Tamandua tetradactyla: one gene and its partner. The protein of the gene in region 2 interacts with the protein of the main gene of each other region in a biochemical or structural test. Links are inferred from orthologs where the notes say so. Each region holds a gene or a part of one and is shown on either strand. Other genes may lie near its edges.

Evidence for each region.
Region 1: the proteins of PTPN3 (region 2) and SCN5A form a complex in vitro, tested with the Homo sapiens proteins (2 studies listed by IntAct, with this or other methods). The link is inferred for Tamandua tetradactyla from reciprocal best matches to the Homo sapiens genes PTPN3 and SCN5A.

The regions. Positions count from the first base shown.
Region 1 is NC_135341.1:48,697,203-48,704,736, reverse strand, and holds the start of SCN5A (sodium channel protein type 5 subunit alpha), read right to left. Parts: upstream 3,003-7,534; 5' UTR 2,956-3,002; coding exon 2,683-2,955; intron 268-2,682; coding exon 150-267; intron 1-149. UniProt on the Homo sapiens protein: Pore-forming subunit of Nav1.5, a voltage-gated sodium (Nav) channel that directly mediates the depolarizing phase of action potentials in excitable membranes.
Region 2 is NC_135328.1:28,458,153-28,466,101, forward strand, and holds the start of PTPN3 (tyrosine-protein phosphatase non-receptor type 3), read right to left. Parts: upstream 3,068-7,949; 5' UTR 2,810-3,067; coding exon 2,596-2,809; intron 63-2,595; exon of another isoform or gene 32-62; intron 1-31.

The DNA of each region.
Region 1 (7,534 bases), on a different chromosome or scaffold from region 2:
CAACTAGGTGATGTCTGTGCTGCTTGTAAGAATCAGCACCACCCTCAGCAAAAACTATGAGGGGGGCTGGGGTGGGGGGCAGCACCCTGCCCGCACCACATGTGGGGTCCAGAGGGCACACCCAGAAGGGATTAATTGCAAAGGATATGAATGAACCAGGATCTTCACAGCTGCTCTCCGGACAGGGTGGAAGGGGCTGAGGACATACAAGGCGTTGGTGGCACTGAACCGGAAGATGGTCTTGCCTTTGTTGAGCACGATAAAGGTCTGTGGACAGAGAGCTGATTAGGTCAGAGGTGACAGGCCCGGGCTACTAGTGGAGAGAGGCTTTGGGGCAGGGGGACTGGGAGTGGGGGAGGAGGAAGAGCCGAGGGACTGAGTGAGGTTAGGTTTAGGGAACGGTCACGTTGGTTGGGATTTCATTTCAAAATTATAGTCCTTAATAAGGGCCTTTCATGATCCTAGTCTAGCTGTGTGACAGCAGAGACCAAAAAGACCTAGCTGAGGCCTCCCCCTTACCCTTCTTCCTTGCCTGAACCCACCGGCTCTACATGGCTTTCCCACCAGCCTGATGGAGTGAGGGTACGACCGGGAGAGCTGGGTCACCAGGGAGAACCATGGGTGCAAGAGAACCATGAGGAAGGTGCAGAGGGAAGCTTTCCCCAGGGCCCTGCCTCCTTGAGTGCAGGACAGACGTCAGTCCCACCCTACCACCCAGGAGACAACCTGTGGAGGGCTTGTGAGTGGTCCTAGTGGGACCCTCCACCCCCCAGCTTCCAGAAGGTGCTGTCTACACAGCACAATGGGTCCTGGGGATGGAGAGCAAGTGCTGGAGGCTGAGCCATATGTATATTAGGTGGGAATTAAGGCCAAAATGGCCCTTGAGGACAGATTTCATCCCCATAGGTCTTGCTTCTCCAAGGGCAGAGCTGGGCAGACAAAGTTCTATCCTATCTGGGCTGGTAAAACAGGCTGACCACATATATCAGGACCCAAAGTTCTGCTGTGGGGACTTGGTCACTCTATGGGGCTGTAGCCAGTGTGGCCAAGAGTCAGCAAGGAGAAACAAGATTAGAGGTCAGAATCACCTTGGGGTCACTCTTCAAACATTCCTGGTGGACACAGGGACAGAACAAATAGAGTCCCTGACTCCTCCCGGGCCAAACTGCCAATAGTTCCCTAAAACCGAGCCCAACCCTGATCCCCAGCCCCAGCTGAGCCCACCAGCCTTGACTCCTGCCTGATCCCAGCTAAGCCCAGCCTCATCACCACCCTTCCTCTCATGGTAACCTCGACTCGCCACCCACTGTGGTCTTGACCCCAACACCAATTCTGACTTTCAGCTCTGATCAATTGTAACCTAGGCCCACCCACTCTGACTAATCCCAACTATCAACCCAACCCCGATCCCAACTGTGCCATGGACCCTGTTCTTGAGCCCACCCGAGTCCCCTGAACAAAGGGTGGCTCAGCTGGAAGTCTGGGAGCAGGACCAGGTTAAAGAGCATCTCTCCTGCCTCTGCGTATAGATGGTGGGTTTTCCCTTTGCACACTCAGGCCCACTGGGGCAAACATGCATCACATCCGTCTCCAGACTCTTGGTCCTGTAGACAGTCACACACCCAAATGCTAGTGACATGGACATTGCCACTCACATCTGCTTGCACTCCCAGGCACGCCCTCCTGGCCTATCCTGAGGACTCTGATCCTATCTGCCCCTCAAGTGCCTCCTCATCCCTGGCACTAGCTGCAGTCACATGAGCAGTCACTGTCATCCTCGGTGCCCATCCCCGGGACAGGCCTTACCCCAGATACTAATCCACTTTCCTGCAGCAGTGAGGCCCAGAACAGTGGTGAGCCAGGCTGGGAGATGGAGCATGTGTGCCCAGGGTCTGGTGGGTGCAGGGTGGAAGAACATAATGTCTTGAGGGGAGAGGCCAGGGCAGGGGACTGAGACAGGGGTTGAGGGTGGGGTTTACCTCCTGAGTAGAAGTCCATGCTAGGAGGAAGCCCCAGTCACCCGCCCTAGTATACCTACAAAAGCCACTTCCTCCCCCAATACTCAGGAGGGACAATGGCAGAACTACCCCGGCCCCTCCCCCACTGTCCCTCTCAGATTTCCCACTGGCCTTCCCGGTCCTGTTGCCACCTCACAGATCCCAGGGGAGTTGCTGCTGTGGGCCCTAGCCTGAGCCACCCCAGCGCAGCCAACCCTGGGTTGCCCATGCTGCCAGCAGGGTGGAGTGTGGCGAGGCGGGGGGGGTGGTGGGAGCATGGTGCCCTGAGTTCAGAGAGGGGACCGTACGCTGTGTTCTGGGGTCCAAACTCAACTCAGGGCATGACTTGGGGTGACACACACACACACACACACACCAGGGGATGGGGAGAAGTCCTGCAGAAGTGACAACCTAACCACAGATAATTCTCAAATTCCAAACAAGGAGGTAAGATTTCAATGGTGCTGCCCTCGTTTTTCTTCATAGCACCAAAGCAGCATCTTAGGCTGCATAATTCCTGCCTTTTATTTTGGAACTCCAAAATTAAGGTGATTGGAATGTAGCTCGCCTATGACTCATTCTCCTGAAGCCCAGGAGAACCCACCCTGCACAGAACCCCATATGGAGGCAAGGCTGTCTCCCTGTCTGCCGCGTGGAGGGAGGTGGGCGGGTGGGTGGCAGTCACCTTTTGGGTGCTATAGAAGGGGTCCAGGTCCTCCAGGGGTTCCCCGATGAGCTCTCGGGGAGGATTGCCATAGAGATCCGGCAGCTTTTTGGAGGCCTGCAGGTCCAGCTGGGGCCGGGGCACCTCCTCCTCGGGCTGCCCCTCGCGGCTCTCCTGCGAGGCGGTCGAGCTGCGAGCCTGCTTCTCTGCCATGCGCTTCTCAATGGCCGCCAGGGACTCCCGGGTGAACCTGCGGAAGCTGCTGGTGCCCCGAGGTAACAGGAAGTTTGCCATTTTCTCATCCTGCTTCTGGGGCACAGGTTCTCCTCACGCTGCTTGTGGGGGAGCTGGAAGACACGGACATGGGGCATGAGGCCGCACCCTGGGCCGGGGACAGCGTGGCCAGACCCGCCGGTGAGGGGCTGAAAGATGCTCCCAGATGGCGCCCCCCAACCATCTCCACTGGCACACTGACCAGCACGGACCTGGGTAAACCCAGAGCCTCCAGGCGGTGGGGTATTTGGGAGGGTCACTCTTCCCTCTCCCATCCCCCAAAGCATGTCTGAGTACATGTGGGTGAAAGTGACCATCACTGAAACACTGAAACATTGGGGCTGCTCCACTCAGCCCCAGAGGGGACAATGGCACCTTTTGGCTCCTAAACTATCGTCACTCGAGGCACTTCTCACAACTGGTGCCAACACACTCTGGAGGAGGTGGGGTGGTTCGTGGAGCAGGGGCAAGGCCTGTCATCACCGGCAGAGCTGGTCCTAAACCAGATGGTTGGTCTTGAACAAATGAATGAGACTGCATGAATGATGGTTAATGCACAGGCGAGGGGCAAGGGTGTTAGAGAGAACCAGCTGCTGCTCTCCTCTCAAATTAGTCCTTTATGCAGGAACCTTGGAGCCCTATGGAGGGTGATGAGAGGACCCCCAGGCCAATGCCCAAACTCAGGGCTTCCTTCCAAGCAGATTCCCGGGCTGAGTGATGGGGCCGGAGGTTGAGGGATATTCTGACTAGTCTCCCTGCAGCACCACGGGGCACAATAAGGTGTTAACATCTGGGTGGAAAGTAGCAACTGACGAAGCACCTGTATCTGCTGCTCGACACCCAGACAAATTCTGCAGACTGGGGAAGCAGTGGGGGAACAATTTCACAGCTGCCATCCAGATGTTTGGTCCTGGGTGTGCACAGCTGTGGCAGGGCCCTGCTGAGGCTCTCTAAGGCATCCCCAGGTGCTGCATCTGCCCCGTACCAATCTGGTTCCAAAGCTGGGAAATGCTGACAGAGCGTCCCCAGCTCCCCCCTCCTCCCCTCGCTCCCCTCCTGCTGGCTCTGAACAAATGAGAGCTGATCCCAAGAGACGGCAGGGCCGGAACACGGCGACCGCTCATCAACGAGGATGTGCAGCCGGCACATGTGCGTGACGCCACGCCGGGAGAATGTGGCCCCTGGCTGCCTCCAACCGCCCAGGACCCGGGGTGGACACGTGCTGTCTATGACACCAAGGCAGAAGAATGTGCTCCCGACTGCCCCGCCAAAACAGGATGTGGTACCAGCGGTCACCCACTGTGACACTGACCCGGGAGGCGACGTCGCTGCCGACCGCATCACACCCGGAAAGGGCCGGGCACCCGCTCAAGAGGGCAGAGCGGACACCTGTTGGAGAGCTCTGCCAGGACAGAATCCCCTTCCTTCAACCAAGGGCCAGCTTTGCCTTGATCCTCCCCCTGAGAAACAGGCTACCAAGGACCCCAGTGGGCTGCTGCTGTCACCGACCCTCGCACACGGAGGGCCAGGCTCTGCCTCCAGGGCCCTCGCTGCGAGGAGTGTGGATCACCGGGAAGTGGGCACCTGGCCAGGTGGCAGGTAAACAAACAGTGAGCAAACACAACACAGGCAGGCCTTGAAAGGGCGCCTCTGGTCCCCTGGGAGGGGCAGCATGGCCTGTGCAAAGGGCGGCTGGGAGAGGAGGATGTCCTAGGACAGCACTCCAACCTTCAGCGTCTATTTCTCCTGCTCCCTTTAAGTCAAAGGAACATCTCTGTTAAAAATAGCAGGTGAGGGAGTAGCTTCCCATTTTATGAAAGCATTTCCCTGTCTACTTCCATCTTTGAGTGAACAAAGAGAAATGTCTGTAACACTCATCACCAAATGTGAATGGGAATTTTTTTTTTCCCTTTAGCTGGCGGAAATTTGGGTAATTTAAAACTTTCTTCTTTGTGCTTTTCTCTTCGTTGCTTGAATTCTTTATGAAGGGTTTGTATTATTTTTGTAAAAACAATGAGGACATTATTCTGTTTATTGAAAAAAGAAAAAAAAAAGGCCAGCGTGGATGACAGCAGTTCTTTGCAGGGCAACCCTCTTTACTGTGAGCAATCACCAGTCCTGTATGTCAAGAGGCCACCTCTTTTCCTTGGAATTATTTCCTAAAAATAGTGCCCTCTGTCTCACTGTATCTACCTATGTCCACATGCCTACGAGGGTTCTGCAGGCTTGTGGATAACCATGGACCTGCAGAGGCTTGCTGGTACACACTGGCCAGAGTGTGTGTATGTGTGTGTGTGCATGAACACGCTTGCACTTGCACGAATTAGTAAAGATATGTTCTAGTAAAGACGTTCTTTTTAAAGATTTGACGTCCACAATTCATGCAGATTGGTACACCTATTCTGAGGGTATAGGTGTTCACTTGCCACCGACTGGACACACCTGGTCACCAGCACCAGCTCAAGAATGAGACTGGGGGCCCCTCCAGCACTCGGGTCCTCCCTCTCTCCTGGCTGCTGATGTGAAACAGTGGCTTTGCCTGGCCGTGTAGTTCAGGGGCTCAGGACAGGCCCCTTGGAGGGATGGGCAAAGGATTCAGGAGAAAATTGCATCCCGTTCTCATTAACCGCTAACTGAAATTTGGCACTCCTTCCATTAGGAATGCAGGCGACGCCCCAGAAGTATTAGGAGGGTCTGTGACTGAAAGAAATTGCAGCTATTTCCGTATCTCTTTGTAGTGGTTGCATGTATCTCGAAACACTGATGCATTTCGCAACTTCAAGATGAGAGTAGTTTTTAGGCGCGCCACTAGCTGTTATTATTGAACATATTAATAAAGAAGAACAGACATTACTCTATCAAAAATGTGTTTTTAAGCATTTTGACAATGATATTTCAATATAATTGCTTTCCTTTTTAATCTTAGGTATGCTATTTTGTCTTGAAAAATGGGATTCTGAGGTGGGCTCTGTCTGACTGGCAGAGAAAGGTTAAGGCCCCTGCCGAGCTTGGCTCCTACTCAAGAGCTGCCTCTGGGGTACCCCGAGTAATCCCGGCCCCCTTCTCTACATCTCGGTCTCCTCATCTATGGAGTGAGTTTGCTGGATGAGGTGATCTCCTGGCTGCGGCTCTGACTCACCCCAGCCCTCCCAAGGGAAAGCCTGGCCTTGGGATCCCAGGCTGCCCCACCTGGGCCTGAAAGATTCCATTCAGAGTCCTGCGGGGACCCCGTGGGAGAGGCAGAGCTCCCTCGAGGAGTCAGGACCCAGATCCCAGGGGGATGGACGCAGGCCAGAAGGGACAACTGTCGGCTCATGTGTCCAGGCATTACCACACCCTCCCTGGTCCCCTCCACCTTCAGCTCTGGTGACGGGCCCTGGTGATCTCCCAGGGGAGATCTTAACCCAGCTGGCCTCAGCAGAGCCCCCACGCCCGCCGTAGAGCCCCCACACTTGCTGCAGAGCCCACACATCCCGATGAAATCCCCTGTTCCCAGGCAGCCAGGCAGCCTCAGGTTCCAAAGTGTCCTGTGTCCGTGGGCCCTGCGGGCGGCTCTCGGTGGGCAAGCAGGATCTGTTTTGTCCCTTGTTCTCCTGCCACCTGCACCTGGCTCTGGCCCTGCCCTTCCTTCAGCAGCTCAGGGCCCACGCCTTAATATGACCAGGGCCGGTTAAGCCCTGGCTGCAGAGTTTCTGGTGATGCCAGGGCTGGGAGAGCTCAGAGTAGCCTGAGGTCCTGCCATACCCCTCAGGCTGATGGGAGGTCAGCCCCCAGCTTTTAGGGGGAGGACCCACCTCTGACATTGAGTGGCCACAGGGAAACACCACCTGAGTAGGGATTCGCTGTCTTCCTCAGTTCCAGCATGCCGGGAAGCCGGACCTGACTTTATTCAAGACCACCAGCTACCTTCCCTCTAGATGCCAGCACCTCATCACTGTCTCCCCTCACCCAGGACAGCTTCTCCACTTGCACTAGCTTCTCCGTGAGGGACAGTCCTACAGCTCACCTTTCTTCCTGGGCCAGTTTCCCCTGTCCTGTTGGCTTCCCTTGAGGACTAGAGGCCCCCACTCCATCCTGTCCTAAGTTCATCAGCCTCTAGTTATTGGATGCTTCTCTCCTGAAGTCCTGCTGGCTCCTGAGAGTGAGCGAGCAACTGTGAATCCTCCTTTTCAAGCCATTCTTCCTGACATCCTTTCTTCTGACAGTGGTCACAATCCCCCCACCCCACCCCATGTGCCACTGCCCCAAGACAGACCTTCCTGTCTCTGCTCAGAGTATGGCAGCAGCTCCCATGCTGATCCCACGGCCACCCGCCTCCTCCCTCTTTCCTTCCATCCCATGCATGCATTCCCACCACTGCAGAGCTCAGACCTTCCCAACCACTCTCCATGCCCTGACTCTGACAGTCACCTCCCAGCGCTCTTCTGTGGGAACCTCATGCTCTCCTTCTACCACACCTCCTCCAGAAGGCCTCCTTTGACTGCCCAGCCCACCAGGACCTCCTCCACTGCTCTGGGAGGCTGGGCCCCTCACACAGGCCTTGCCTCCCTTCCTAGCCTTGGTAAGTCCCTGCCAGTCCCATGAGGGTGAGTCAGGTTGA
Region 2 (7,949 bases):
GACAATAAATATAAATTTAGACCTTACTCACAATTTCTAATTGCTCTGCTGCTCGCTTCTGACCTCTTCCCATGGGATCTCACCCCAAGGCTGGGCACTCGCCTGCTCTTCATTCTCCAGAGCCTCGCTGATTCTGGGCTTAGCACTCCGTAAACCTTATAAAGCTGAGAGACCAACCCAAAGAAATTAAAATGACAATTTCTTTGTAATTAGAAACATGATCAGTGACCTGTCATCAGAGTCCCTAAATCCCACTGGCCATGCCCTTTCACAATATCTCCTGGGGCTCTCTCCTCTTTTATCTTCTTGCCTTTGAGTCGTAGGACTCCCAGCGACCTTCTCTCTGGCATCACCAGAGGACATTTTTTTTTTTTTTTTTTGGAGGTGCATGGTCCAGGAATCGAACCCGCATGAAAGGCGAGCATTTGTATCACTAAACCACCCGGGCACCCTAGAGGAAATTTTTGATGATTTAAATTCAGTCTCTGAGAAGCCCCTAGCCCGAGATGCAGGATTTCCATCTTTTCTAAATATTCTTTTTTTTTTTTTTAATTGTACTGGGGTGAAATTTACATGACATGAAATTAACCATTTTAAAGTGAACAATTCAGTGACATTTCGTACACTCACAATGCTGTGCAACCATCAGCTCTATCTAGTTACAAAACATTTCCATCGCTCCAAAATTAACCCCCTTGTCCATTAAGCAGTTTCTCTCCACTCCCCTCTCCTCCCACCTCCTGGCAACCATCAGGCTGCATTCTGTCGCTAAGGCAATTACCTGTTCTGAAAAGGTAGTTACTTTTTCTGGATATTTCATATAAATGGAGTAAGGCAATAGGTGATATTTTGTGTCTGGCTTCTTTCCCTTAGCATAACGTTTTCTAGAGTCATCCATGCTGTAGCATGCATCTGCGCTTCATTCTTTTGTACAACTGAACAATAGCCACTGTATATGGATATAACACATTTGTTGATCCATCCTTCTCTTGATGGACATGTGGGCTATTTCCGTCTTTTGGCTATCATGAATAGTGCTTCTATGAACATGTGTGTACATGAATTTGTTTGAGTGCCGGTTTTTAGTTCTTTGGGATAAATACCTAGGAGTGGAATTGCTGGATCATATATATGATAGTCTATGTTTAACTTTTAGAGGTACATCCAAACGCCTTTACCTGACAATATTTACCATTTCAGTCCCAACATTTTCATTTGGACCACCGCTCACCCCCAAGGAGAAGAGTGAGTGGGTGTCTGACCAACAGCTACACAACAAACAGGCCTCACCTCCCAGAATAAAGGGATTAGGTAGGTGAGGCAGAGTCTCTTCTCCTGGAGAGAAATTATTTATGGTTAAACAAAGCACAACATAAAAAAACAAGAGTGAAAAAAAAACCAAACCTAAAACATTTTTCCCCAATTCAAGTCATTGTGTATCAGCGTTATAAAGTTCATTCTTAGTTGCTCAGCTACACATCTCTCGCTTCTACACAAACATCACACACTCTCACATAGAAAGACACACATGATTTACTGTATCCTCTACACACACTCCAAACTACACACTTATGCATACACAGTCCCAAGCAGATGCCACCATCTCCCATCTAGGGACATCATCACCATGCCCCATTCCCTGCAAAGATAAACCACACACAAACACAAACAAACAGCGCACAAGCACACAGACTCTCCATACGCTCCTCACACCTCACACACAAATACATGCCCTGCAGCACTCACACACTACATACTGCACCTTTCCACCATGTACCACACAGTCTGTACACTACCCAGTACACTGACACACACACTGACAAGTGTGACAGCACACACCAGTCACAAAGCACACACGGCACTACCCAGACCTTCTGACATGGTGCACATCCATACCTTCAGCACACCACAAAATAATGCCCCCGTCGTGACTCCTTTTTCTAGCTAGCTAAACCCCAAGTTCTCTCACTTCAATTACTCTCTCGCCATTATTTTCAGCTTGTGTGATTCCTCTGTAGGGGACTTAGCAAAAGCCCGACATGGGTTCATTCCCATTCTTGGCCGTCTTTGTGCCTGAATCTGGCTGCTGAATCCTGTACCCAACCTTGCTGATTGAGACCACCAGAAATTTATGGTTTCTGACATAAACTCTTGCTGCCTGCCATTATAGTTTTCCCTTTCCCATTTTTTCTTATGCAGAATGAAAGTTCCTCTCAGCACAACTGTTTCATGGTGGCCTTTGTAACTAGACACAACATGGTTCTATTCCTGGACAAAGCTCATCGGTTTGGAAGACTTAACCTCCCTTTCTTTGTAAATAGAACTCAGTGTGGTTGCAAAAATTAAGTATTAAAAAATCTATCTATCTATGTATATAAAATGCCAAACCAAAGCCCAGCATCCAGTAGGTAAAAAAAAGAAAAAGTTAATTGAAGTAATAAAACAAATTAAATTAGGGCAGGTAGAAACTATGTCTGTCTAGTGAAATAATTTTTGACTAGTGCAGGCTCAGATATATTCCCTCCTTTGGCTCTAGTCTCAGGGGACAGCTGCCTGCCTCAGCTCATTCAAGTCCTCCACGTTAGAACTACTGACCGTCAGCTGAAGGGCTCGGTATCCAGATCCATCGGGAAGCTAGAGTTGTTCTAACTGCAGAACCCCAGTCCTGTAGGGCTTCTTGCCTTGTTTCTCCATATCTTCTTGGTCCCCATGTTCTCAGTGTCCAGGTCCCTTGCTTTGTTTCCTCTGTCATAGCAACTCTCAGCAATCCACTTCCTGTCCTATTACTCACCTGTGTAAGTGTTTCCATGGCTCCTGTTGCCTTCAGGATGAAGTCCCAGCTTTCCTGGACTAGCACAGGCAGCTCTCTTGCCAGCTTCTCTAGCTTCCTCTCCTATTACCTATAGACGTCCCACCCAACTCCTGTTCCTGGTTTATACCACGACAATTTATACCTGCTTGTATATCCTATTCTTGTTTCCCTGCTGTTGTTCACACTGTCCTTGCTGCCTGAAATACCTTCATCCCTGACTGTATCTGGCTCACCTGGTGAACTCCTAATCACCCCTTCCAGAAATGTCCCCAACATGGTGTAGCCAGATCAGTGGCCTTCCTCTGTGCTCTGAAAACAAAAACTCTTTCCTGATGTGTTTCCTGACGTTGCTCCTCTTTCCAGGCTGTATTAGAATTATTGCTTGCATGTCTGGCTTCCTCATTGGATTACAAGTTGCTTAACTTATTCAACTTTGTATTCCTGGAGCTTAAAAGGTACTCAATGTATGTTTGTTGAATGAACAAACACAAGTGTTTGCAGAAGAAGGTCCTTGTTATTAGCTGTTAAACTCTTTTCATACCACCTAACTCAGTGGCTAAGATCTCTTCTTATAGTTTCCTCTTGGACCTCTACTGATCACTTCTTTCTCCTGAATAGATGGGAACCTGGAGCTTGGACTTAGTTTGAACTTTGGCTTGTGGAATTCACTTCCTGCCTCTCCCTTCTATTTTGGACTGGACTTCTGGTTTGGACTCAAATGTCTAACCTCTCCCTAGAAATCAGTGATCCTCTGTCACCTGGGTCTGTTTGAACTCCCAGGTCCAGCCCTCTCCATCCAGTTCTCAGCCCACCTTGTCTTGTCAAAAAAACCTTGTCACCTCCAAATGCTCTACCCTGGTTATAATTCATGGACATTAAGCAACTATTGTAAATTTTATCTGGCTATAATAACACTAGGACAAAAACCAGTCTTTGTACAGGACAAAACAACAGATCTGTGTATTTGTATGTCTCTGTGAAGTTTACAAGGTGCTTTAGTGTAATTTATTTCATTCTATCTTCATAATAACCTTTTGTGTTGGGTTATTATCCCCATTTTACAGATGAGGGAACTGAGGCTCAAAGTGGTTAAGTGACTCTCTAAAGGCCTCAGAACCAAACTTCATGGCCAGGGTGGGAGAGCGTGGACTTTTGTTCTTCTGACTCTGAGTCTTTGAACTCTTTGGTGTTCATCAAGATATTTAAACATTAGATATATCTGATGAAAAACAGAGATCCGATTGTGATGCTTAAGAACGTGTCCTCTCCAAATCCAACCTCTACTATTGTTAGCATGATTTTTCTAAAACTTAAATTGAGGTTAGAGTCTTCTGATCACAATTCTTCAGAAGACCCTGCTCCCTCATCTAGTTACATGGAGTACTGTTGAATCCCTGACCTCACTCTTTCCCATTTTAGCAACACTTACCACTTACCGTGCGTTGAAGGCCAACAATCGTTCATGTCTTGGTGCCCTTTGCCCTCATCTTCCACCCCCACCCCATCTGCCTTTTGCATGGCCAGCACGTCTTTATTATCCAGCTCAAGTATCACCTCTACTCCAGAGCTATTTCTAACATATCCCCATCCCCACTGTCCTTCCTACTTCCTTTATTGAGTCATTGAGTAAGTCACATACTTTTGTCCCAGCACCTCTTACTCTGTGAATTATTGTCTTGACTGTTTATCTGCCTCCCTCTGAAGACCTCAGTATTCTTAGAGGTTAAAAATGGGACCCAATTCATGGTTACACACAGTACTTAGTACAAAACCCAGCAAAGAGTAAAAATTCAATAGATGTTTGTTGAGTGGAGGGATGGGTAGATGGATAGATGCAGTAGTGAACTTTTTTATTTTTTATTTTGCTCGGGCAGGCACCGGGAGATGAACCTGGGTCTCCTGCATGGCAGGTGAGAACTCTGCCACTGAGCCACCGTGACCCACCCAGTAGTAAACTTTTAATTGTCACTTTAAATCCATTTATTTGAGTGTATTTCCTCCTCTTCCTTTATTTTCTTAGTGACAAAATAATAAAATTTATCCAATAGACTATAGGAAATAGGGTTGACTTCCTTCCCCTTTCTAACAGTAAGCTTATTGAGCTTTAGAGGAGTAAAAACGTGACTTGTTCCAATGACCTGCCCATGTGCCAATCATCTTTTTCTTAGGTTATTTTAACAACATTTCGATTGTTAGAAAGAACTCCTATTGAGCCTGAGTCTGCCTCCTGGAAACTTCAGCTCTTGGATCCAGGTTTAGCTTTTTGGACCTATATGAATGACTAATTCTCCTCCTTTGCAAGGTAGATTTTAGCATATGGGAACATGGCATACATTTTTCAAGATTCTTCTGCAAGTGGCCGAAAACCCATTCCAAACCAGGTAAATAAAAAAAAGTACCTTTATTGCTTCCCGTAAGCCAATTACAGAGCTATTCCCATGACTAATTAACCCAAGCACTTCCTACTCTCAGCTGGCCTCTGCTTGTGTTTGCTTCATTGTTTAAGCTCTTCCACATAGATGGGGATTACAAGTAGCACCATCTCTGCAATCACATCTTTTAACTCACAATCTAAGGGGAAAAAGACAAAAGGGCTGCACTTGGTTTAGCTTGGGTCATGCATCTGTTCCTGCACCTGGATGCGAGAGTATTGCACTTGAGATCCCCACCAGAATTACAAGGAATGGGAAGGAGCAGGTCCTCCCTCAAGCAGGAGAATGTGTTTCCAGAATAAGGAGGCACAGGATTCTGGTTAGACCAAAAATAGGGCATCTGTCATAGGCTGAATTCCCCTTACCTTTATGCCTTATTATTATTATTTTTAAGTGGAATTAAGGAGGAACCCAGACTTCTACCATCCTAGTTTTCTGTGGCTATGCTCAAGTTTGTCAAGATCCCTCTCAAACATGACCTTTTCTCTCCAATGGAATGTGTTGTTCCTCAAATGGGCTGGCCTGCACGGAACCCAACAGAGCCATTCCTTTACTTATTGGGAACATAGTTATTGCAGTGCCTGGCACATAGTAAATGCTTAATAAATAGTGAATGAATGAATGAAGGGATAAATGTAATTCTCAAGCCAATTCTGTCTAAACTTTGCTCTTAAAGGCAATTAAGGCAGCCCTTATGAAACCAATATGATATCACAAAGGAGACACTTAAAACCAGTTGGACTGAGAATGTGAGAATGCAGTGGGAGGAGACAGCTGGTAAACTTCTCCAGGTGCACCTGAGTTAACTGCTTCACGGGAGAGCTCTGTTCTCTGAACTGCATAGAAATGAACTGTTACTTCCCAAAGGCAGAAACACTGAGGGATGAAAATACATGCAAAATAAAAGGAAAAATAGAAAATAACAACTCTCCTAAAAAAAAAGCCTGCTTCCTTTCCTTTTTGGCTACAAGTGACAGAAAACTCAAAATGATACCAACCTAAATATAACAGGTCATTTCTTTATTATTTAAACAGTTCAGAGGTCAGAAGTCAAGGCTGTTATGGCAGCGCCACAATCACTGGGGTCCCAGGCTTGCTTTTCTTTCTCCACCGTCTTGTTTGTCCAAGTTGATGACTCAGGTTCCAACCAAAACATCAGCATTTGTTTCCAACAGGAGGGAGGAAGGGATGAAAGAAGAAAGAGAGTGAAGGCATGCTCAAGCTGTTTTTTATGATTTCAGAAAACTGCCACCAACTTCCATTTACATTTCACAGCTGGAACTTAGTTCAAGCTATGAAGGAGACTGGACAATATATTCCAAGGGGTTTTGTGCTCTGCTAATAGCTGGGAATTCTATCATTATGCAAGAGACAGGAAATGGATATTGGGATAGGCAACCAGGATCTCTGCTGATGCTGCTGGGAAGAAAAAGGAACAGGAAAATTTGGACATGTCCTGTTGTGATCGGTGCTAAGATCCTGGGAGGGGATTTTGTGAGAGAAGTCTTCAGTCCTTCCATCATGCTACTTCCAGAGGTGTCCTCCACAAAGCTAACCCAATGAGATCCAGGGCATGATCTTGGTTTCCTGTAAGCTAAACTCCTGGCACAGTATGTAAGACAATCTGTACCTGTCCCAGTTCCACCTCCCTAGCTTTAGCAACTTGCCACTCTCCTACATTACAGCCACACCCAACTCCTTGTCATTTCTAAACACACTGAGGCTGTTTCAGTTACCCTCCCTCTGTATATGCAGCAAATGGTTCCTGGAATGTACTTTCCTCCCTGGCTTTTCTGGAAATCTCCCCAATATCAAACTCTTGACTTGAAGCTCATCATCATCTGCTCCATGGTTCATGGTCCCTTCCTTTGTGTTTGCTCAAGTCTTCCTCAGATTTCACATATTTTATGGCCCTTATCTGGTAGCGTATTTTCACCACTGACTAAGCTGTTTAAAACACCAATTCTAGCCCTTTTAGCCCCTTTCCCTGCTTTTTTGCCTTCATAGCATTTAGAACCACCTGACATTTTCTTAAGCATTTTTTCCATGTTATTGTTTGTCTTCCACCTAGAAAATGTTTCTAAATTCCTAGTAAATATTTATCTTTAGGCTTTAGGTATAAATATGTGGATTTCACTGGAATTCTTGGGAACTCTCCAAATTATATCCTTAAAATTTTTTTTTAATTTGAATTTTTATGACACTGTTTACTTGTTTTTTTAATATTACGTGACCATAATAATAAACAGAGATCATTTTTCTGTCATGGGATTATATAAAAAGTTTCATAGGTTTTCTGTAAAAAAAAAAAGCTGCCACAATAAATGCAAGGCTTATTATTATTTTGAGCTATTTTGAGCCAATGTATTGTGATAAGATTATATATTCAATAACATGTAAAATGATTTCTACCTGATATAGATATTTGATAAGATAGAAAAGATAGATAAGATAGAAAAGATAGATAAAAGATAAGATAGAAAAGATTAAGAGGGGGACAGTAACAAAAAATAAATGCCAGTAAAAAAAAACTGAAAAATTTTAAGATAATGCCACAAATGTTTATTATTTAGAATTATTCTTAAAATGAAAATTTAAAACACACAGCAATTATTGCCCCATTAGATAGTCAGAGTAGCTGTTATGTGGCAAATATTCCACCATGGGGAAAAATTTCTTTCATTTAGCATTGATGTTAGTGAAGT